Linked DNA regions of Saccharomyces cerevisiae S288C. Changing the gene in region 4 together with the main gene of any one other region gives a genetic interaction. Each region holds a gene or a part of one and is shown on either strand. Other genes may lie near its edges. The genes, in order: VPS4, INO4, DGA1 and LRO1.

Region 1 (6,274 bases), on a different chromosome or scaffold from region 4:
TAAGTGAGCTGAATCTCGAACGAATAACGCCAAGGCCGGATTTGGAGGGAAGTGCCTCTCAAAAAGAAAAAAAATTTTTAATTTCTGAAGAAGATTATTTATTATTGCAGAAATTGAAAGCCTCTCAAACATATAATGATTCCAATGCTGACAAAAATTTGCCTTCCTTTGAAAAAGGTCCTCGTATGCCCAGTCGGGGTCGACCCAGACCGAGAGAGAAGGAAATAATCACCATCCAATATGATTTTGAATTACCAGGAAGAGCCGATATACCCTCCTCCTCCTCTTCTTCATCACCACCGCCTTTGCCCACAAGGCGTGATCATATCAAAATCACAGATGGGAATGAAGAGAAACCGCTTCTTCCAACAAGGCCTAACAAAGCAGAAGTTACAGAAAGTCCGTCATCAAGGTCAATAAAACCGGATGCTGTGGTACCTGAGCGCGTTAAGCCTGCTCCACCTGTCTCACGCTCTACAAAACCGGCGAGCTTTTTAAGTTCTTTGGAAGATAACAAATTGACAAAGGCGAAGAGTTATAATTCGGAAATGGAAACTCCCAAAACAACTGTAAAAAGTTCTCATATCGATTACTTGGATTCCATACAACTAAAACCAACCACCTTATCTCCTACAATGAAAAATAAACCTAAACCAACCCCTCCTTCTCCACCTGCGAAAAGAATTCCAAGATCTGAAAGTTTTATCAAGTCTATGCTAAACTCGAATCTCACGACAACTTCCAAGCCTTCTTTGCCTGAAAAACCTCAAAAGCTACGGAATGCAAATTTGGCCGCCCATAAGACCAAACCAAGCATACCGCCAAAGAAAGTGGAGTTGAATATAGTATTACCTGAGCTACGTCCCGTAGAAACTTCTCCAACAAAGCAGAACTTCGAAAACTCAATCGATTTGCCCAAGTTACGATCCAGCAACCGTAACATTAAAAAAGAAGAGGAGGACAGTATTCCAGAAGCAATAAAAGGTATACAAAATCTGAAGAAAACCAAACAGCAGAAGCCTGCAATCCCTCAGAAAAAATCATTTCTAACAAATAATTCGAAAAATACTACACTCAAAAATGGTGATGATATTAACAAGTTAAATGACGAAATTGAAGCTCTATCATTGCGGAATAACCTGAAGAAACGGCCACCAACGGCGCCACAACGTAAAATTTCTTTGCCAGAGGCATTGCGAAAAGTCGAATTGATGAAAAAATCTAAAACCGAGCCTGTTTTAGAGTCCTCAAACGAACTGAGCATAAACGCAAAATTAGACGCAATAATTGCCTCTAGAAACTTAAGAGCATCTAATACTCTACCAGAACTTAGCGGTGTTAACACTAATATTGCAACTTCTGACAAGTATACTACTTCTAGAGATGAAACAGTGAAGGAAACTAAACCATTAGTTCACCCGAATAAAAATAGGACTCGTGGTCCCAGAAGAAAACTTCCAACACGCGTGTAACTACAGAGTAGACCTCCGTATTTTACACATGTATGTACGTACATATGATGTAACAATAATATGATAATTTAATGGGATACATGTATTATCGTCACTTCCCACGTTTGCGCTTTGACATTTGCTCCCCTTATGAACCTGAAGGAATATAAATCATCGATCTTTTTGCTACACTTTTCCTCCCTTATTAGAAAATAGCAGTAAAATTACAGGCTATTCAAACCCTGAAACATCTCAATTATGGCTTGGACTAGTACATTACCAGCGCATCTACTGAACCTGATCAAAAACTCCAAATATGTTCACGTGGCCACCTGTTCTAAAGACTGCATCCCTTCAGTGGCATTGATGAACTATATCTATGTGCCAGGTGAAAAACTGTTCGGTCAAACAGATAATAAGAATGACTACATTATATTTGTTTCTCCTCAGGACACACAAAAGTTTTACAACATCAAGGAGAACCCTAAGGTCGCCCTGTTGTTTCACGATTGGATCATCGCGAATAATTTGTCAGTGGGCAAGGAAAGCATCTCTGGGACTCCGACGCCGACTTCTATTCCTCATGAAGAGCAACGTCAAAGCGAGCTTTTAAATTTGTTACAGGAGTTAAATCAAGCCGAATTGAACCAAATGAGCGCATCTATTGGTGGCGAAACCGAAATTGTCAATCCTGAAAGTGAAGAATCCAAGTACTATAAAGATTTAATACTAAAGGCTAATCCTGATGCGAAAGCTTTTATATTTGAAAAGAACACCGCCGTTGTTAAAGTTAGAATTGATAATGCTAGGGTATCCAATAATGAGAACAGAACAATGTTTCTAAGTAAAGGGAAGAGTTAACTGTCCTCTGCTTTTCTTTATCTATTTTGCATACGATTCTGTATTTAATTATTCTGTTTTTTTTTTTTTTTTATTTTTTATTTTCATGTACACAAGAAATCTACATTAGCACGTTAATCAATTGACTAGTTACCTTCTTGACCAAAATCTCTAGTGAACTGTTCTTGCTTCAGCAAGTCATCCTCATTCACGGTAGGTCTCGTCGATTTGATAGCCTTTAAGAAATCCTTTATGGTGAGATCTGGTTCTTTTAATTCATCAGCTTCAATATCCGTCCAACTCATCTCGATGGCGCCATCATCACCTGGAGAGCATGGTGTTAGTTTTCTTGTTTCGTCGTCCTCCGTAGAGACATCTTTGAAATGTGTCGCGCTTTGAATTTTTCTTATCGGTTGCATTAGCGCATCTTTCACCACTACAGCAATATCACTCCCGGAATAACCTTCAGTCATTGCACCTAAAGTTCTATAATCTTCCTTGGTCAATACGCATGGAGTGTCGCCGACGTTAATCTCGAACATGGTGGTTCTTGCCGCCAAATCTGGTAATGGTATATATATTCTTCTTTCAAATCTTCTCCTGATGGCACTGTCCAGTTGCCATGGGATATTTGTTGCGCCAAGGACCAAAACACCTTGGGAGTCATTCCCAACACCATTCATTTGTACCAATAATTCTGTTTTAATTCTTCTACTTGCTTCGCTCTCTCCTTCTCCTCTGGTACCTGTTAGCGCATCCACTTCATCTATAAAAATAATAGAAGGTTTATTTTCTCTTGCCATCGCAAATAACTGTTTGACAAGTTTTTCAGATTCACCCATCCACTTAGAAACCAAATCACTGGAACTAACACTGAAAAAGGTAGAATTGGCCTCGGTGGCCACTGCTTTTGCCAAATATGATTTACCTGTACCTGGTGGTCCGTACAATAAGATTCCCGAAGTGGGCTTACGGTTACCTTTGAACAAATGTGGGAACTTGACAGGTAAAATAACGGCTTCTTTAAGGGCCTCTTTGGCTCCTTCCAGTCCAGCCACGTCTTCCCACTTAACATTGGGCTTCTCAGACAAAATAGCACTCGATAAGGCACCTCTTAGCTTTTTGTTGTCTTCTCCACCATTATCCTCACCCTCTTCCTGAGAGATTTTCTTATTACCACCGTTGGAACCACTACCAGCGCTAGGAGATTTCTTTGCCGCGTTTGCCTCTTCACTTTCCAAGTGCTTTTTCAACTGCTCTGCACGGTTTAGATACTCTGTAAACTTCGCTCTTATCAAATCCTTCGACTTAGGGTTTTTCTCGTATTTCAAAGCCAACATCAAATAATCTAATCCGTTATAGTATGCTGTATACGCCTCCTCATACTGCGTGGCTGTGTCCAGGTCAATGGCCTTTTGAACCAGTTCTATTCCCTTAGTTAAAAAATCTCCCGTGCTCATTTGTACCCCATCTACTATAGGCACTCTATGCTGCTTTATTTTTGTCTTCCATGTCCTCAACCCACGATTAAATCGTTCGATATCATGAAGTTCTTATTTTTTTTTTTTTTTCACCCAGCGGGGGTACCCGTAAAGCAATACAATAAATATCATCAAGCAAGAATAAATAGATGTACAGAAAGAACAACCATGACGTGTTGTGTTTCTATTCAGCGTGCGGAACCGAATCCTCAGTCGGAGATTCTCTGAGAATGTTCGTTTGAGGAAGCTTAGGATACTTGGCGTAGAAGTTGGGGCCCTTTGGGGGCTGTAGGGAAGAAACTGGTCGTTGGCGCGACTGGAGTGGCGACATGTGAATCGGACTTGAAGTCACTAACGGGTTTACTGCTCTTACTGGCGAAGGTGGTAAATTTTCTGTCGGTTTGAGGTTGTCTCGCTCAATATTTTTCATGTCTCGACGAGACTCCAGGTATCTTTGATCGATGTTTGCGTCGTCCAACACCGACTGCAACAGATGACACTTTTCCTTGACAAATTGTAGTTCCTTTTGTGTAGAGTGCAGCTGCTGCCGCAATTGCGCAAACTTTGCTTGCCATTGTAGAGGCACACAATCCTGAGAATTTTTAGACAATGGGACAACGCTTTCTTCTTCCTCATCTGCGGGAGACCCCCATACAAACGCTTGGATCTTGGCAAGAGTCTTAGCAATATTGAATCCAAACGCGTGTTGTTGAGCCCTCTTTTTGGAGATATTCTTGTAGTTTTTAGAACGTGTCCTTTGTGAAGCGTGTCTAACATGATTTCTTTCGCGAGGCACAACCACCAATTTGCGCTCTTTTCGTATCCCCAATGTCTTTTCCTGAATTCCCATTGTGATCTTCAATGCCAACCCAACCTTCTTTTTACTTTGTTGGGTCTAAATTATGTTACTTTGTCCATTTCATCTCTTTTCAAGATGGAATCTAAAAGAAGAAAAACGACAAAAGGAACAAAAGTGATGTGACGCGTTATTTTTCGCGTGACATAATAGAAAAATATTTCAACTGGGCATCTTTAACACATGTTACAATAAAGTTGAGATGACTTGTTTATGCCTTTAAAGTTTGTAAGTGGAACTAGAAGCGTCTATGTGTGAAATGTTTGGCTCTGGGAATGTTCTGCCTGTTAAAATTCAGCCTCCGCTGCTTAGGCCACTGGCGTATAGAGTTTTATCAAGAAAATATGGTTTATCAATTAAATCTGATGGACTGTCTGCTCTTGCAGAATTCGTTGGCACTAATATAGGTGCTAACTGGAGACAAGGGCCTGCTACAATAAAATTTCTCGAGCAATTTGCTGCAGTATGGAAACAACAAGAAAGAGGCCTTTTCATCGACCAGAGCGGGGTTAAAGAAGTTATACAGGAGATGAAAGAACGTGAGAAAGTCGAATGGAGTCATGAACACCCTATTCAACATGAGGAGAATATCTTGGGACGGACAGATGACGATGAGAACAACAGTGACGATGAAATGCCGATCGCTGCTGATTCATCCTTACAAAATGTTTCATTATCTTCACCCATGCGACAGCCCACCGAAAGAGATGAATATAAACAGCCTTTCAAGCCAGAAAGCTCCAAGGCGTTGGACTGGAGGGACTACTTCAAAGTTATCAATGCTTCTCAGCAACAAAGATTCTCATACAATCCGCACAAAATGCAATTTATTTTCGTCCCCAATAAAAAGCAGAATGGGCTAGGAGGCATTGCGGGTTTTCTACCAGATATAGAGGACAAAGTTCAAATGTTCTTGACAAGATATTACCTCACGAACGACAGAGTCATGAGAAATGAAAACTTCCAAAACAGTGACATGTTTAATCCATTATCATCTATGGTGTCTTTACAAAATGAACTGTCCAATACTAACCGACAGCAGCAATCCAGCAGTATGAGTATCACCCCAATAAAAAACCTACTAGGTAGGGATGCTCAAAACTTTCTACTATTGGGGCTCTTAAATAAGAACTTTAAGGGCAATTGGTCACTGGAAGATCCGTCTGGATCTGTCGAAATTGACATTTCCCAAACTATCCCTACACAAGGCCATTACTACGTGCCAGGTTGCATGGTTCTTGTGGAAGGAATATACTATTCTGTAGGAAATAAATTCCATGTTACCTCCATGACTTTACCCCCTGGTGAGAGAAGAGAAATTACATTAGAAACGATAGGTAATCTCGATCTCTTAGGAATACATGGCATTTCTAATAACAATTTCATTGCTCGTTTGGATAAAGATTTGAAGATTAGATTACACCTTTTGGAGAAAGAATTAACAGATCATAAATTTGTAATTCTCGGCGCAAATTTGTTCCTAGATGATTTGAAAATTATGACTGCACTCAGCAAAATTTTGCAAAAATTAAATGATGACCCACCGACCCTATTAATTTGGCAAGGTTCTTTCACTTCAGTTCCCGTTTTCGCATCAATGAGTAGCCGGAATATAAGTAGTTCCACTCAATTTAAGAATAATTTCG
Region 2 (5,562 bases), on a different chromosome or scaffold from region 4:
ACGACATTGGGGATCACGTGTTTGGCTGCTCCTCCGTCTCGCCTCTGTCAGAATATCTTAGTGCGGCAGAGCTCGCGGAGGTTGTGCACCGGGTAAACGGATTCTTGCTGCGTGAAGAAGGTGAGGTGTTCGGGTGGCGTAACTTAAGTGGCCTGTTGCTCGATATGCTTACGGGCGGTCTGTGGAGCTGGGTTTTGGGGCCCCTTCTTTCTAGACCTGTGTTTCAGGAGTCTCTCGCGTTAGAGCAGTACGTGGCGCAGCTAAACTCGCCGGGAGGTCTGCTTCACGAGCGCGGTGTGCGCCTAGTATTGCCCCGACGGTCCGGGTGCCTATCCCTAGATTTCGTCGTGCCCCGACCCAAATAGTTAAACGTGTGGTTTATGGGTGCACCAGGGCTTTATCGTGTTTTATATCGATGGCGATTTGTGCCTCCAGTGTATTTTTGTATATCCAATTAAGGTTTCTTACCTAATTTTATTTTTATCATCTTTAGTTAATGCTGGTTTGCTCTGTTTCTGCTGCTTTCTGTGCGGTTCTCCTCTTCTCTTGTTTCTTCGTGTTGTCCCCCATCGCCGATGGGCTTATATGGCGTATATATATAGAGCGAGTTTTTACGTCGAAGATCATCTCAGTTTGCTTGATAGCCTTTCTACTTTATTACTTTCGTTTTTAACCTCATTATACTTTAGTTTTCTTTGATCGGTTTTTTTCTCTGTATACTTAAAAGTTCAAATCAAAGAAACATACAAAACTACGTTTATATCAATTAATAATGTCTGAAATTCAAAACAAAGCTGAAACTGCCGCCCAAGATGTCCAACAAAAGTTGGAAGAAACCAAAGAATCTTTGCAAAACAAGGGCCAAGAAGTAAAGGAACAAGCTGAAGCTTCTATCGACAACCTAAAAAATGAAGCTACTCCAGAAGCTGAACAGGTGAAGAAGGAAGAACAAAACATTGCTGATGGTGTCGAACAAAAGAAGACCGAAGCTGCCAACAAAGTTGAAGAAACTAAGAAGCAAGCTTCCGCCGCCGTCAGTGAGAAGAAGGAAACCAAGAAGGAAGGCGGTTTCTTGAAGAAATTGAACCGTAAAATTGCTTCCATTTTCAACTAATCACACTTGAATGTGCTGCACTTTACTAGAAGTTTCTTTTTCTTTTTTTAAAAATAAAAAAAGAGGAGAAAAATGCTGTTTATTCTGACCTTTTACATAAATTTTTCTTAATTGTATCTATCTAATAACTAATCAATATAATAATAATAATACTAATAATAATAATAATAATAATAATAATAGTAGTAGTAGTAGTAGTAGTAATAATGATGATGATGATGATGATGGATGATCAAAAGCCACAAAAAAGAATGCTCCGAGAATAACCTCGGCGGTTATTTCACGTCCCGGAGGAAAAAAAGTTTGATAAGAAAGTAAAAATATGAGCGGTACGAGAATCGAACCCGTGTCCCCACCTTGGAAGGGTGGGATGATAACCACTACACTAACCGCCCGGGTTAATTGTTATTAGTTGGTGAAACTGATCTCAATCACTATAACATTATGGTCTCTTAATAGCAAAGGCCAACCAACTGACTTCTTGCAAACTGATGTTCAATTTTAGCTCTAAAATAAAACAATGTAAAAGAAAGATAAAATGACATAAAGCACTATCGCTTCAACGGCAAACAATATTGAAAAAGTATCACATTATAGTAAGTTGAACACTAAAAGATTAAATAAATACTTCGGCACACTTTCGATGAAGGAAAGCATTAGTAGTAACGTATATATATCATTGTTGTTGCTACTTTTCTTTGTGGGATATGCACCACTCCCCTCTGCAAAGTGAAGAAAAGGTATGGGAAGAATTTCTTCGCTTATATTACTTACTTTACCCTACTCCTTGAATCACTGACCACTCTGTCCATCACCCAGCTCCCAAATTAACTCCTTCGGTACTAAATCCCGAATGTTTCCATTTTGTTCTTGTACGGGATCGCTGCTGCTGCTGCTGCCGGTTTTTGCCTCATGCTTAGCTATGATTTGTTTTCTCAGCTTTTCATTCCTTTCATACAACCAACTTAAGTAACTCAAGCTTTTCAGGTATATGATTAGTTCTGACCGACTTTCCTGGGGTTGCAGGTCAGGTACTACTGCTACCAGTTCGTCAAATATAGCTCTTTCCAATTCTCTCCTTTTTTTTTCAGACGAAACATGATTTATACGTATTTGACCATCAGTCAATTTATTAATCTTCTTAGACCTGCGTTTCCTTTTCTTCACATTAGCCAGTTCACCCTTTATCTCCTTAATCTCGGACAATCCCGGCTGTATTGTTTGTATCTCCTTAATATCGTTCGTCATTATTGCTTTTCTCTTTTTAGTTCAAGCCGCCCTCTTAACTCCTTCGTCAAGCTTATCTTGTTGGCATTGGAATTTCGCAAACGCAATCGCGCCTCTGTCTTTAAGGTGAGAAAAACATGTGAATATTTTGTTTGATACGTAACAAGCTCATACAAACCAAGCCAAGAAAAAGAAGACGACTAATCTATTTATAACAAAGATATTTGTTCACTATAATGCAATATAGTTCGAGGTTCCTAGAATTGAATATCCCGGATTCATTTTTAAATATCAATAAGATTCCTGATGCTACTAAATTTATTACAGTCACTTATATATGCTTAACTGCAACCCTTTTCTGTATAAGGAGATCCTTGTACAACAAGCTAGTTCTTGAAGACCCTAACTTGGACTACAACTTGATTACTTCGCCGCTTTTGCAAATGGTACCTTCGCAGATTTGGAGGTACCCCACCTCATTAGTTCTATCCAACTTCATCGACACTAAAGCTTGGAAGGTGGTAGTGAACTTATTGAATTTGATCATTGGTGGATCCTTCATTGAACGCAATTGGAACTCTTCCAAAGAAATGTTCAAATTTATCATAGTTTTAGGTTCTCTTACAAACGTTCTGATCATCATGCTGACTTTGTTAGTATCTTTTTTCTCTAATAAGGTAAGGCTGGATATTCCCTTAGACGGGAACTACACAATTTTAATCGGTTTCCCTATCATTTATAGACAGTTATTGCCTGAAACAACTATAATCCATCTGAAGACACCTCAATTTTTGGCCAAAAACTTTAGGTTCAAATTACTACCCATTTTTGTAATGTTTACAATGACGGTAACCCAAATAATATGGTTTCATCATTTTGCTCAATTGTTCTCCATTTGGGTTACCTTTTTTGCCAGTTGGTCGTACTTGAGGTTTTTCCAGAAACTTGCACCCTTGAATTGTCCCTCTTTGCCAACAACTAATTCTCAAGGTGGTCAGGAAATATTGGTCGGCGATGCATCTGATACTTTTCAATTGATTTACTTCTTTCCTGATCTAATTAAGCCGATTTTGAGGCCGATTTTCAATTTCATTTATAATGTAGTTGTTGTAAAATTTAAAGTCATTAAACCTTTTCATGATATTGATATAGATATTGGGAACACCATCGCAGAAAGTAGAGGCGCCAAAAAAATTATGACTGTAGAAGAAAGACGAAGACAGTTAGCTTTACAAGTTTTGGAAGAGCGTATGGTAAACCCTTGATATATGGATCTATATAACTTGAAATATGCTCTATTATATCGTGATTTAATGACGGCTGTTGGCATTTCGGTCTTTACCAAGGTAGTAGGATTTGTATGCTGAATGTGCGCCAGTACTATCGAACCATAGAAACCCATATATTCCCCAATATTAATAATTCTACTGAGAAATGGGTGAATTTTGAAATAATTGTTGGGATTCCATCGTTGATAAAGGCTATAATATTAGGTATACAGAATGTACTAGAAGTTCTCCTCGATGATATAGGAATCCCCATAATGGAATCTATATTTCTATGTACCAATATTACGATTATTCCTCATTCCATTTCATATGTTTCATTATCCTATTACATTATCGATCCTTGCATTTCAGCTTCCTCTAACTTCGGTGACAGCTTCTATAATAACTTATGTCACTATCTAACACCGTATATGATAATATATTGATAGTATGACTACTAGTTGATAGACGATAGTTGGTTTTTATTCCAACATCTACATAGTGGCACTCACTACGCTGCTAAATTTGATCATTTGGTGAATAATTTGATAATTAGTAGTTCTTCTCCGGGATATAGGAATCAACAAAAGGAAAACGATAGTTTTACATAATAATATTAATTTATCTTGCTTGGTTCGCCTTTGAAGAGCGCAGCTTTCAGAGATTTAGCTTCTATGGCCAAGTTGGTAAGGCGCCACACTAGTAATGTGGAGATCATCGGTTCAAATCCGATTGGAAGCATTTTTTTTTAATATTTTAAAATTGTTTATATTTTTGTACCACAAACATCATTAGAAGCTGCAAATGAAGTGAATCAGAAAATTTAAAAATGAAACTAAATACTAAATATTATTGTTCTTTTTCTAACAGTTGAAGTGCCAAAAGCAGTAAATTGTTTAAATATTAGGGTATAAAACATGATATTATAAAGTTAATGATTTAGAATGGCTCCGTCCAGCAGAACCAGTTGATTACCATTAATGTTGAGAGTTTATGCGAGTTTTTCAGGCTCGATTATGAGATACGGTACTAGATAATTCAGGATTATCAGGATTATCAGGGTTTACCACTTGCAATGGTCCGCTCATCATCATGTCGGGTAAAGAATTGGCACTGAACCTTTCATTTGCACTATTCAAAGTATTTGCCTCTTCAAAAACTGTCGATGGAAGGTTCTGTTTCTGAACCGTAGCATCTTGTAAGCCAGCCAAGTTGTTTATGATGCTTCCACTGGTGTTTGAACTAGGACTACTATAATTTGCACCATTACTCATAGAAAAACCATACATATTACTTGTACCGATAGAACCCGCTGTATTACCCCTTGAATGTCTCATCCAATTTGTCGTACCAGAGGAGGGAGGCGGTCCTATTGGATTTGCATCCTCATCACCGAACGAATAGGGCTGATAATGTTTCGTTTCCTCCAAGTCTAATTGGTCGTGCGATTTCCGTCTCCTCCATATCAGGAACAATAGAATCAAAATAATAAAAATTACGCCAAACACAACACCAATAACAATACCGGCAATGGCTCCACCACTCAGACGCTGCTTCGAAGTCGAATTAGATCTATTATTTGAGGCGGCAGCAGTAGCAGTAGCTACCTCAGAAGATCGTTCAACCACGGATGTCCTCGTAACAAATATTGTTTCCTGATGTTGATCAGAAGTACTCACGATCGCTTTTGTAACCACACTAGTCACTAGTTCCACTGAGGTAACTATTGGTATCGTTGATGACGTACTAGGGGTCATTGAGGTCACTTTTGGAGTTGATAGTGTGCTGCTACTCGAGGACACTGGCACCAAGGTGGAAGAGGGTGAAGAAGTACGGCTATCGACTGTGGTATGCTCAGATGAGGACAATGTAATGGATGAGGAGCTAGACGTAACAGAAAAGATAGAGGTAGTAGAGGAGGTAGTAGAGGAGGTAGTAGAAGAGGTAGTAGAA
Region 3 (4,708 bases), on a different chromosome or scaffold from region 4:
ATAGAGCCTATTGGTCGGACACTCTCATAACGCTATTAGTGGAACACCAGAAGGAAATTACTATAGACGAAATAAGCTCCATGACTTCGATGACCACTACAGATATATTACACACAGCAAAGACACTGAATATCCTGCGATATTACAAGGGTCAGCATATTATTTTCCTGAATGAAGATATTTTAGATAGGTACAATCGACTTAAAGCCAAAAAGAGAAGGACAATAGACCCTAATAGACTCATATGGAAACCACCGGTATTTACTGCCTCTCAGTTACGCTTTGCCTGGTAAGCTATGTAGTGCTTTCCTAAACTTACATTCAAACAACTTCTAATGTAAAAGCTTTAAATAAATGAAATTTACGTAAAACAATCACTAATATTCAACGAGAACTCCAGTATTCCTGTAAGTTAATACTCTTACTTAAGATATACAGCCCAAACACTAAAAAATCCTTATTTATTCTAACATATTTTGTGTTTTCCAATGAATTCATTATTACCCAACTATCTTCAATTCTGCATCCGGTACCCCATATTTTTCTCTATTTTCGTAATATAGTCTTTTCAACTCCGCAATATACAAATCATGGAAATGATTAACAACATCATCTGGCGGATTTGTTATTTTCTTTTCAACGTATATAGGCCTTCCAACAACAACATTGATAGGCGCTCTAAATGGCAACAAACCGAAATCGTAATTGAATAATCCTCTTGCGTAGAAAATGGGAATGGTAAAACCAAAGTTTTCTTTGAACCATAGTTGCATTTTACCCAGGACTGAATCTTTTTTTGTGCTCAGAACATTATAACAGTCCACCTCTCCAAATGCAAACACAGGCACTAGGTTAATATTCCCCGTTTGAATGGCCAGTTTAATAAAACCCTTTCTTTTGTTTAAAATCAGTTGTGTACCATTTGTTGAACTTAATAAAGATTCCCTAGCGCCACCAACAACAATGCAGATCGACTGATTTTTGCTTAGAGTCCTTAAAGCGTTTTTCCGAGATACTGAAGAAATACCTAACGCCAATAAGTAGTCTCTATACAATGGGATATGAAATTGTGTGACCAGTGTCATCAGAGAAATAGGAATACCTGGGAAAATCTTGGAATAGTTACAACCTTCTGTTGCAAACGCTCCAAACGCACCAAGTGCTCCTATGCCGTGTGGATGGTAACCAAATAAGTACGTTGGCCCTGTACATTCCTGGTTGCGATAGTCAATAGTAGAGTTGCTTTTGAGATTAATGGAATACTTAGTTGGCCACAATCTAATCTTGTAATTTTTTTCGTTAACTCTCTTATTTTTTGAAAGCGTAAAAGTTGGTTTTAAATTGACAGTTTTAATCAAACTTATAGGGAAATAATCACAATACCACTTCCAAATGGGCAATGAACGAAATCGAAGAGAGTATCGATTTACCACTTCGCCAGTTGCAGGAGACCTATCGAAAAAAAAATAAATCATATATGGAATAGCAAGAACCCACAGTGCTGGTGTCGAGATTGCAAATAACGTAAATATGGAGAAGAGTACAAATGAAGAAGTGTGCCATGCTACAGCCAGAGTTTGTAACCTTCTTTCAAAAGGGGTCGCCAATGGACAGCATGACTCTAGTTGTGGTTTGAGAGTCTGTTCTCTTTTATCGATGCTTGACAAAGACTTATTCTCATGCCTTTCGGTAATACCGGCTGTAGGGCTTCCTTCTTCCTTCTTCCTTCTTCTTATATCATTGAATGTTCCTGACATTTATGTGACTGTTCAAACTGTATGCCTCTGCGTTTCCTTATGTATATGTAAGTGTATGTGTAAATGGAAATGAGATGATAGTAAACCTCCTTAATGGAACAAACGTGATCTGGGATAAACAGGAAAAAAAAAAAACTTTGGCGGAAGTGTAGTGAAAGATCCAAGCCTGATAGACCACTGTCGTGCTTGGTTAAGTACAGAAATGCGGTGGAAGTACTGGTCTGCTTTGAGGAATAAGTTTCCAAATTCAGTCTTCTCTTTTTCTAGCCTTCCCATTACGTCAATGCTGACTGAATCTATCAATTGAATAAAAAACGCACATCATAAGCCTTTGTCGGCCCGTAACTTAGTTGCCTGCAGAGAACAAAGTACAGAAAAACTTCTTGCTCTGATTACCAGTTACAATAACGACTAACTAATATTTAAATAAAATGTACATCTATCTACTCTTTCAATCTTTCCGTCTTGTTATATATCGAAACCACGGTCTCTTAGTTGATGAACGGTCCAGATCCAAGTCGATGCCGCTTCGTCGACATTGTTAGAAACGTAGCTCGATTTAGATTCTTTACCCCCCGTGGTGAAGTACTTCCCGTTATCTTTTTCGACAGATAAATTCGGGTCCAATGCACACTTCAAAGAAGCTAGTGAACCTTGTTCGTTCGATACGCCGAAAAAGAACCCTACGACCTGGAACAACAGCCAAAAGAAAATACCGACGATGGGTAACCTTGTCCAATAACTGAATAAGTTTGTGTTCATCACCAGACCCGGATGAACGGAGAGACAAAGAACGTCAGGGTATTTGATGGCCAACATCTTCGTGCATTGGATTAGCGCGGTTTTACTCATCGCGTACCTAAACCATGTGAAAAGCATATTAGGTTTGTAATCCCACGTCTTGCTCAGTTTCCAGTACATGAACTCTAGATGATGGCCTATCGAGGACAGGGAAATGATCCTGCCACGACAATGGCGCAGTAAAGGCAATAATCTCATCGTGAAGATGAAGTGCGAAATGTAGTTAGTCTGCAATTGCACTTCAAATCCGTCCTTCGTCATTTCTAAGGGCACCGCCATAATCCCTGCATTGTTAACAAGCACGTCTATGTGGTCTTCCAGCTTGAGAATTTTAAGTGCCGCTCTCTCCACACATTTTAAGTCTGTCAAATCCAAATGGATATAGTGCAGTGACCCTAGACGCTGAATGCTTGGACCTGGGCCCGCGCCTGGGCTTGAACCGTCGTCATCTTCATGGCACCTCTTCTTTGCTTCTGCCAGTATCTCCTGGATTGCTTTCGAAATCTTGTGAGAGTTTCTCCCACAAATATAAACGACAAACCCATGCAAATACAAATGCAAGACAGTATACCACCCAATACCCGTATTTCCGCCTGTTACTACAGCAATCTTCCTCTCCACAGCCGGGTCGTAGTATGGCAATATTCGTGGGTCTAACATTCTGCCTTTGGCGTATGTCTCGTACTGCGGATGCCTCTAATACCAATCAGGCCTACAACCATTGTCTTCCCCGTTTCTACAAAGACAATAGTGTGTGTGCATTGTAAGTGATGCATCATGCACCATAATGATTTGTTTATATATACCCATGTACACTTGGGTCTCATTTCCTCAATTTTTTCATATCTTACCCGCATATCTTTTCTTTCAATGCCCTACTTCTATACTTCAGGGTTTTCCAAAAAAAAACAGTGATTAAGCAGGGCGGCATTTTCTTTATCTTGGGGCTTAGAAGACGCGAAAGACCTGTGGCTCAATACCTTTTTCGGAATATGTCAACAACACGAAACGCCAAAATTCTTGGCCCTGATTCAGGTACCGCGGGGGCCACGAATTTTGGCGTTCTGTGCAGGAATGACGTCTCTGCCGATTATGAAACTAAACAAGGTATGCTATCGGAGGTGGTCTGAGTTACTCGACAGATTTTTCTGACGAGAGTGAGTGTCGTTCGAGATATTTAAGCTCCAAAATATTTCCCTCACCTAGCTTACATTTTGGTTTATTCTTTCTTACCTCTACCTTTCTAAGTTTTTCTCTTCTGCTTCCTTTTCTTTTCACTTGGCATATTTTATCTATAAAAAAGTTTTGCAAGCGTTTAAGCAACTAGTTTAGCACAACATCCAACCAAGAGGTTTCTCGCGTATTTCTCTCATTTTTTTACCCATTTTACAAATTTTTTTTGCTATTTGAGCCATAGTACCCATTAATAGGTCTCGTCCATTCCCTTGTTTTTTTTTTATTGTTTCAATTACACTACATAATTAAAAATCACATCACTTTCACTCTCACCTTAGTCGTTCTTTATCAACCAAAAATAAAAAAATGCTTCAATCCGTTGTCTTTTTCGCTCTTTTAACCTTCGCAAGTTCTGTGTCAGCGATTTATTCAAACAATACTGTTTCTACAACTACCACTTTAGCGCCCAGCTACTCCTTGGTGCCCCAAGAGACTACCATATCGTACGCCGACGACACCACTACCTTTTTTGTCACCTCAACGGTCTACTCCACGAGCTGGTTCACCTCAACTTCAGCCACCATTACCAATGCGGCCTCCTCCTCCTTGTCCACCTCTTCGGCCTCTGGATCTGTAACCCCAGAATCCACCCATGAAATTACCTCCACCTCGACTATCACGTCCACTTTGCTGCTAACCCTTCATGACTCCACTACTTTGTCTCCATCATCTACTGCAGCAAGTGTCAGTGACGAAGATTCAAACAACAAAGATGCAAAGGTCAAGTCCTTTGAACAGGCTTCAACTTCCAATGGTTGCGTCCCAATCACAAAGTTTGTCACTGTCACCAATGAGCCCGTTACCCAGTACGTTACAGTCACCCCAAATACGACTACACAATACGTTACTGTCACCGGTGCACCTTCTGTTACCACTACCTCTCCAGGTAACGTACAATGGTACAACACCACTTC
Region 4 (7,487 bases):
ATACAATAAAAGATTTGAAGGAAAAAAAAAGTGCCTGTGCGCGATGTTACTTAAAAACAAAAAGATTAAATAATTGCAATATCATCTAGTTGGATTCTAAATATACTACCAAACAAGGGCTTAAACATTTTAATAAACGATTTACATATTTACTGTGGGTATGGCAATGGGTGAGCGTAGGTATGCTACGGTAGGCGATGTAGTGAGTAGTGCGGACGAACCGTAGCCGTAACGTTTAATGCCCCCTGCCTTTTCTTCTCAATTGCTCACATGTAAGCAAAGTCTTCCAAGAATCTGGTTTTACTCGTAGCCTTTTAACGCTGTTTTTTTTTTTTGCACACCTTTAAAACCTATAGAAACTCCTTCATATAAAATGTACTAGTTATAAGATGACTTTTTATATTCAAAATTAGAAGAAAACTTAACTAAAATTAAAAAAATAGCGGCTATTAAAAGGTATTAAAAAGTGAGAAAAAAAGAAAAAAATTATAAACTTGAGAAATCAAAGGAGACTAAATGCATAAGCAAAGAGAAGAGGATCTCCTCGGATGATAGATTTATACAATTACTCTAACTTAGAAGGTTTACTAGACGGATTAACGGACTTGAATCGAATTCCGAAGGAATACTCCGCAGTATTGGAGCCATATTTTCAGAATATAGCAAGAAATGCACATTTAAAGTCTAGAGCTCTAAAAATTTGTCGTTCTAATTTCCATAAATGGAACGAAGAAGGTGCGAAGACAGTCAATCCGGAAATTATAAGAAGATGCCTTAACCTGTGGTATGTTTTGAAGGGCAAGGAATATAAAAAGTTGAAGGATCCTCCGCCTGCTGATAATATCATTAAGGATGAGATTGATGTCTCATATGTTAAGAATTTGAATGTAGTCAGGTTGGAATTTGACGAATTTGGTAAACTCATAAGTAATCCATTAGAGAATTTGATCTTGGAAGAGGTCGAAGTGAATGATTTCATACAAGAATAAACCTAAAGTGTGTTCACTCATCTAATATGCACGGAGCCTACCTTTTAGCTTTTGCTGCCAAACTAAACCAAGATTGAAAGATATATAATCGACTATCTTTCGTCTCGTAATCTGTATCATGCAATTTAAATTAATTATCAACATAAAATGCTCTAGTTAGCACGCGCATATCCAGGAAAGTTCACCAGTAACTATGTACTAGACAAAAGCAAACTGTTCGGAGCGACCATACACCATATGTTGTTGAATCAACTTTTCTTAAGGCTCTTTCGAGTTCATCATTAACCAACCTAGGTATTTTCCCGATTTTTTGGTAATATGTCAAAACAGCTACTTTGTATACATTTATAGACGCCTGGTGTCCTTTGAGCCTCACTTATATAAAGTAACCTTCACAAGATTTTGGATTTTGGTAATACATACGCTACTGCTATTTCTTGCGGAGCAGCAGAATCATCTTGCTCGGCCTCCTTTTCTGAAAATTTCGATGATACCTGAAATAATCATCATTAGCAGAGGGAATTTAAAAATAGAGGGTGTAAAATTATCAAGATTTTTTTTTGCTAAGGTGAATGAGTAGTGAGTAAAGAACTAAGAACAGTATGTCCGTTAGCACGCCAAGTGAGTTAGACGCATTAATAGAACAAGCCACTAGTGAGAGCATTCCCAACGGTGACCTTGATCTCCCCATAGCGTTGGAAATTTCAGATGTGTTAAGATCTAGAAGGGTAAATCCCAAAGATTCTATGCGTTGTATAAAGAAAAGGATTCTCAATACGGCCGATAATCCAAATACCCAATTGTCTTCCTGGAAGCTTACCAATATATGTGTAAAAAATGGTGGAACGCCTTTTATTAAGGAAATTTGTTCCAGAGAGTTCATGGATACCATGGAACATGTCATTTTAAGAGAAGATAGCAACGAAGAACTTTCTGAGCTGGTAAAGACCATATTATATGAACTATACGTAGCCTTCAAAAATGATTCGCAACTTAACTATGTGGCAAAAGTTTATGATAAATTAATCTCTCGTGGCATTAAATTCCCTGAAAAGCTAACACTTTCCAATTCTCCGACTGCAATGTTTGACTCGAAGACGCCCGCAGATTGGATTGATTCTGATGCTTGTATGATTTGCTCCAAAAAGTTTTCTCTACTAAATAGGAAACATCACTGTCGTTCCTGTGGTGGAGTTTTCTGCCAAGAACACTCATCAAATAGTATACCCTTACCTGATTTGGGTATATATGAGCCAGTCAGAGTATGTGATAGCTGCTTTGAAGATTACGATTTGAAGAGACATGACGACAGTAAAAAATCTAAAAAACATCGCCATAAAAGAAAGAAGGACAGGGACTACTCAACTCCTGAGGATGAAGAAGAGCTGATAAGGAAAGCAATAGAACTCTCCTTGAAAGAATCTAGAAATAGCGCTAGTAGCGAGCCTATTGTCCCCGTTGTAGAATCAAAGAATGAGGTGAAGAGACAAGAAATAGAAGAAGAAGAAGATCCTGATTTAAAAGCTGCTATTCAGGAAAGCTTGAGAGAAGCTGAAGAAGCGAAGCTACGCAGTGAGCGTCAAAAAGCCTCTAGACAGATGCAACCCCAACAGCCATCACCTCAACCTCAACCTATCCATTCCGTTGATTTATCTGATGAGGAGAAAGACAGCATATACATGTTTGCTTCACTTGTCGAAAAAATGAAATCGAGGCCCTTGAACGAAATTTTGGAAGACTCTAAATTACAAAACTTGGCTCAAAGAGTATTTGCTTCCAAAGCAAGGTTGAATTATGCTTTAAATGATAAAGCTCAGAAATACAATACTTTGATAGAAATGAACGGCAAGATTTCGGAAATTATGAACATATACGATAGATTATTGGAGCAACAGCTACAAAGCATCAATTTGTCTCAGCAATACACACTTCCACAAGTCCCTTCTGATCCGTACAATTACCTAACAGAAAATGTGCAAAATCCAGCAGAAAGCTATCAAACACCTCCCCTCCAGCAACTATCATCTCATCAATACAAACCACAACAGGATGTCTCACGCCAACAATCGGTAAAAGCAAATTCATCACCTACCACTAATATTGATCACTTGAAAACCATCGATGTGACACCACACGCACAGCAAAAGCCTCAATCGCACGTTGAACTTGCACCTTCGGACCCACCTTATCCAAAAGAAGAGGCCGAAGATGAAGGAACACAGGCAGTGCAAGATGAGGAATCCTCCACACAAGAATCCCGCGAAAGGCCGTATCCAGTAGAAACAGAGAATGGTGAAACTTCAATAAATAAACGGCCTCAAGGCATTACACGTTACGATTTTCCAACTGTTCCTGCACGCAAATTCGTCCAACCGGAGTCAACTGTACCACTTCCTGCAAGTTCCTCTGAAATTCCGATCAAAGAGGAAAGGCCGCCTAGTCCTCAAGAGGAACTGCTAATAGAGCTTTAATATTGTAGCCTTTTCTATGTATTTGTAAAAAGAAACCTAGCGCTTATAAATATATACATACATATATATATAATTGCTTGTTACGCAACTTATACATATTTCTGTCATTAAACTAGTTTTTAAGGTGAATATTCATAATTTATGTCAGTATTAACATTGAAACCGTCAAAAAAAAAAGTATCAATATAGACAAAGGAAGGACCATTTTAAGAAAGTGGTTTTAAGGAAGAAACTTGTTCCTGCATATTTATAGTTAATTCCTATCTTCTTGTTTATCCTGTTTTTTGACCACCTGGCTTGCAGCTAATAGTGAAAAAACACAAATTTTTACCAACCTTCCATGGTATAGTCATGTTGTATACTCGGTGTAACACTAGTAATAAACTTTAAGAAAACAATCAAGTATTGGTCTACCCGTAACGAATCATCAATATCGTCTTGTAAATCCTCCCAGTCTCCGACACCGTCCAGCTCTTGTTCTTCCTGCAGCTCTTTCCTTCTTCGTTGTCTAACCACACGAACCTTATCTAGCAATATTTTCATTACATTAGCATGCTTACATGGATGAATGGAAACAGATAACACTGAATTCTTGTAAAAAGGTAGCTTTTCAATGGTGGCTGTCTTTGTTCTATAATCTGCTGATATATCTTCGAACATCTGCTCAGGGCTTAGTGGTGAACCATTAGAATTAAACCCCACTATATACATTTTAGGGACCCTATAAGATGTCGAGTACGCAATATAAAGGTCGTAATACCTTTCTTGCGCCATATCTTTGGCTAGGCCACCTTTAGCATTAAATTCTTCTGTATCGTCATTTTCATCCTCCTCTTTTATTTCCATGTCTTGTATTAGCTCATCAATATCATCGATAGATGAGTCCTTGGTCCCCCCCGCAGGCGTACTTTGCACATGTTCAGTTTCAGATCCTATGTATTCCAGAACATCATCTTCATCTCCATCTTCTGCAAAACCTTTCATGATTACATCTGGCCCTTCAACTTCGACACATTGCTCGGCACGTTTATCACAGGGAACTTTTCTAATTATCAGAAACTGCTTATTCTTCGGTAAAAAATCTCTGTAACTAATATCTGACGACTCTTCGTTCCACTTCCAGGTGGGAAACATATGACATAAATAATCACCTGCTTGTACAAACTCCTCAGGAGTTATTTGACCTGTGGTTAAAAAGGTAGATTTGTGCGTTATGGGGGTAAGATATTCTCTCCAACTACTTAGTGTAGATCTAATCATGATAATAAAATTGTATTTACTCCTTTGTACTTCTTTGTTCCTAACTTCTAGCTAGCTTGATATACGTCAAGTGTACGTAATCATTCAAGTATCTACTTTCCTTTAAATAGCCCTTCGCTCTGCTTCCCTTATAATAATAATGTCCGTGTACAAAATTGAATGCCCAAGAAGGTGAAATTTGAAAAATAAGAAATCTACTAAATACCGATACGAAGAAGCGTATAGTAACAGCCATTACAAAAGGTTCTCTACCAACGAATTCGGCGACAATCGAGTAAAAAATGGGCACACTGTTTCGAAGAAATGTCCAGAACCAAAAGAGTGATTCTGATGAAAACAATAAAGGGGGTTCTGTTCATAACAAGCGAGAGAGCAGAAACCACATTCATCATCAACAGGGATTAGGCCATAAGAGAAGAAGGGGTATTAGTGGCAGTGCAAAAAGAAATGAGCGTGGCAAAGATTTCGACAGGAAAAGAGACGGGAACGGTAGAAAACGTTGGAGAGATTCCAGAAGACTGATTTTCATTCTTGGTGCATTCTTAGGTGTACTTTTGCCGTTTAGCTTTGGCGCTTATCATGTTCATAATAGCGATAGCGACTTGTTTGACAACTTTGTAAATTTTGATTCACTTAAAGTGTATTTGGATGATTGGAAAGATGTTCTCCCACAAGGTATAAGTTCGTTTATTGATGATATTCAGGCTGGTAACTACTCCACATCTTCTTTAGATGATCTCAGTGAAAATTTTGCCGTTGGTAAACAACTCTTACGTGATTATAATATCGAGGCCAAACATCCTGTTGTAATGGTTCCTGGTGTCATTTCTACGGGAATTGAAAGCTGGGGAGTTATTGGAGACGATGAGTGCGATAGTTCTGCGCATTTTCGTAAACGGCTGTGGGGAAGTTTTTACATGCTGAGAACAATGGTTATGGATAAAGTTTGTTGGTTGAAACATGTAATGTTAGATCCTGAAACAGGTCTGGACCCACCGAACTTTACGCTACGTGCAGCACAGGGCTTCGAATCAACTGATTATTTCATCGCAGGGTATTGGATTTGGAACAAAGTTTTCCAAAATCTGGGAGTAATTGGCTATGAACCCAATAAAATGACGAGTGCTGCGTATGATTGGAGGCTTGCATATTTAGATCTAGAAAGACGCGATAGGTACTTTACGAAGCTAAAGGAACAAATCGAACTGTTTCATCAATTGAGTGGTGAAAAAGTTTGTTTAATTGGACATTCTATGGGTTCTCAGATTATCTTTTACTTTATGAAATGGGTCGAGGCTGAAGGCCCTCTTTACGGTAATGGTGGTCGTGGCTGGGTTAACGAACACATAGATTCATTCATTAATGCAGCAGGGACGCTTCTGGGCGCTCCAAAGGCAGTTCCAGCTCTAATTAGTGGTGAAATGAAAGATACCATTCAATTAAATACGTTAGCCATGTATGGTTTGGAAAAGTTCTTCTCAAGAATTGAGAGAGTAAAAATGTTACAAACGTGGGGTGGTATACCATCAATGCTACCAAAGGGAGAAGAGGTCATTTGGGGGGATATGAAGTCATCTTCAGAGGATGCATTGAATAACAACACTGACACATACGGCAATTTCATTCGATTTGAAAGGAATACGAGCGATGCTTTCAACAAAAATTTGACAATGAAAGACGCCATTAACATGACATTATCGATATCACCTGAATGGCTCCAAAGAAGAGTACATGAGCAGTACTCGTTCGGCTATTCCAAGAATGAAGAAGAGTTAAGAAAAAATGAGCTACACCACAAGCACTGGTCGAATCCAATGGAAGTACCACTTCCAGAAGCTCCCCACATGAAAATCTATTGTATATACGGGGTGAACAACCCAACTGAAAGGGCATATGTATATAAGGAAGAGGATGACTCCTCTGCTCTGAATTTGACCATCGACTACGAAAGCAAGCAACCTGTATTCCTCACCGAGGGGGACGGAACCGTTCCGCTCGTGGCGCATTCAATGTGTCACAAATGGGCCCAGGGTGCTTCACCGTACAACCCTGCCGGAATTAACGTTACTATTGTGGAAATGAAACACCAGCCAGATCGATTTGATATACGTGGTGGAGCAAAAAGCGCCGAACACGTAGACATCCTCGGCAGCGCGGAGTTGAACGATTACATCTTGAAAATTGCAAGCGGTAATGGCGATCTCGTCGAGCCACGCCAATTGTCTAATTTGAGCCAGTGGGTTTCTCAGATGCCCTTCCCAATGTAAATGACCGACATTGACTCACTATCCATCCGTGTATTATTTCAAAGAGCGAAAAGAAGGCGCGTCGCGTCGACGCGCCTTTTTAGGCTAGAAAATAAACAGAAAACAAAAACAAAAACAAAAAAAGGCGAAAAAACAAACGAAAAAACAAACGACAGTAGATAGAGGAGAAGGTTTTTGACAGGTTTGTGTAATTGGTTATTTGCTTTTATAGATTATATATACACAAACTTAAAACACTGTTTTCTAAGTAGGCTGCGGAGAGGGCCAATTGCAGCAGCGACGTACGCATAGAGGAAAAACAACCGTTCATGTCCATTATGAAGCAGAGGCTACCACTGGGGGAGTTTTCCAGCTCGAAGATCAACAAACTGGCAATTGCCAATATTGCAGACGCTAGCGAGCCTAGAAACCATGGAGAAAACAACGTCGGGACTGTGTGTCTTCCCTCTATCAAGAGTTTGATGGTTAGTCCTGAAGTATACGAAAACACGAAGAGTCTT

The links.
Region 1: of LRO1 (region 4) and VPS4, changing one enhances a phenotype caused by changing the other (phenotypic enhancement), as found in Saccharomyces cerevisiae (2 studies listed by BioGRID, with this or other methods).
Region 2: mutations in LRO1 (region 4) and INO4 together harm fitness more than expected from each alone (negative genetic interaction), as found in Saccharomyces cerevisiae (2 studies listed by BioGRID).
Region 3: of LRO1 (region 4) and DGA1, changing one enhances a phenotype caused by changing the other (phenotypic enhancement), as found in Saccharomyces cerevisiae (13 studies listed by BioGRID, with this or other methods).

What each region holds. Positions count from the first base shown.
Region 1 is NC_001148.4:884,087-890,360, forward strand, and holds VPS4 (AAA family ATPase VPS4), read right to left. Parts: upstream 3,752-6,274; coding exon 2,438-3,751; downstream 1-2,437. Other genes in the region: BSP1 (Bsp1p), read left to right, coding at 1-1,472; YPR172W (pyridoxal 5'-phosphate synthase), read left to right, coding at 1,710-2,312; CSA1 (Csa1p), read right to left, coding at 3,957-4,622; DPB2 (DNA polymerase epsilon noncatalytic subunit), read left to right, coding at 4,888-6,274. UniProt on the Saccharomyces cerevisiae protein: Involved in the transport of biosynthetic membrane proteins from the prevacuolar/endosomal compartment to the vacuole. Required for multivesicular body (MVB) protein sorting.
Region 2 is NC_001147.6:109,525-115,086, forward strand, and holds INO4 (Ino4p), read right to left. Parts: upstream 2,363-5,562; coding exon 1,907-2,362; downstream 1-1,906. Other genes in the region: SHR5 (Shr5p), read left to right, coding at 1-365; ZEO1 (Zeo1p), read left to right, coding at 773-1,114; YOL107W (uncharacterized protein), read left to right, coding at 2,578-3,606; WSC3 (Wsc3p), read right to left, coding at 4,614-5,562. UniProt on the Saccharomyces cerevisiae protein: Transcriptional activator of phospholipid synthetic genes (such as INO1, CHO1/PSS, CHO2/PEM1, OPI3/PEM2, etc.).
Region 3 is NC_001147.6:793,576-798,283, forward strand, and holds DGA1 (diacylglycerol O-acyltransferase), read right to left. Parts: upstream 1,758-4,708; coding exon 501-1,757; downstream 1-500. Other genes in the region: NuA4 histone acetyltransferase complex catalytic subunit ESA1, read left to right, coding at 1-293; ENV9 (Env9p), read right to left, coding at 2,226-3,218; SRL1 (Srl1p), read left to right, coding at 4,101-4,708. UniProt on the Saccharomyces cerevisiae protein: Catalyzes the terminal and only committed step in triacylglycerol (TAG) synthesis by using diacylglycerol (DAG) and fatty acyl-CoA as substrates. Required for storage lipid synthesis.
Region 4 is NC_001146.8:635,395-642,881, forward strand, and holds LRO1 (phospholipid:diacylglycerol acyltransferase), read left to right. Parts: upstream 1-5,001; coding exon 5,002-6,987; downstream 6,988-7,487. Other genes in the region: SWM2 (Swm2p), read left to right, coding at 549-989; ESCRT-0 subunit protein VPS27, read left to right, coding at 1,592-3,460; ATG3 (Atg3p), read right to left, coding at 3,788-4,720; NRM1 (Nrm1p), read left to right, coding at 7,296-7,487. UniProt on the Saccharomyces cerevisiae protein: Catalyzes triacylglycerol (TAG) formation by an acyl-CoA independent pathway. The enzyme specifically transfers acyl groups from the sn-2 position of a phospholipid to diacylglycerol (DAG), thus forming an sn-1-lysophospholipid.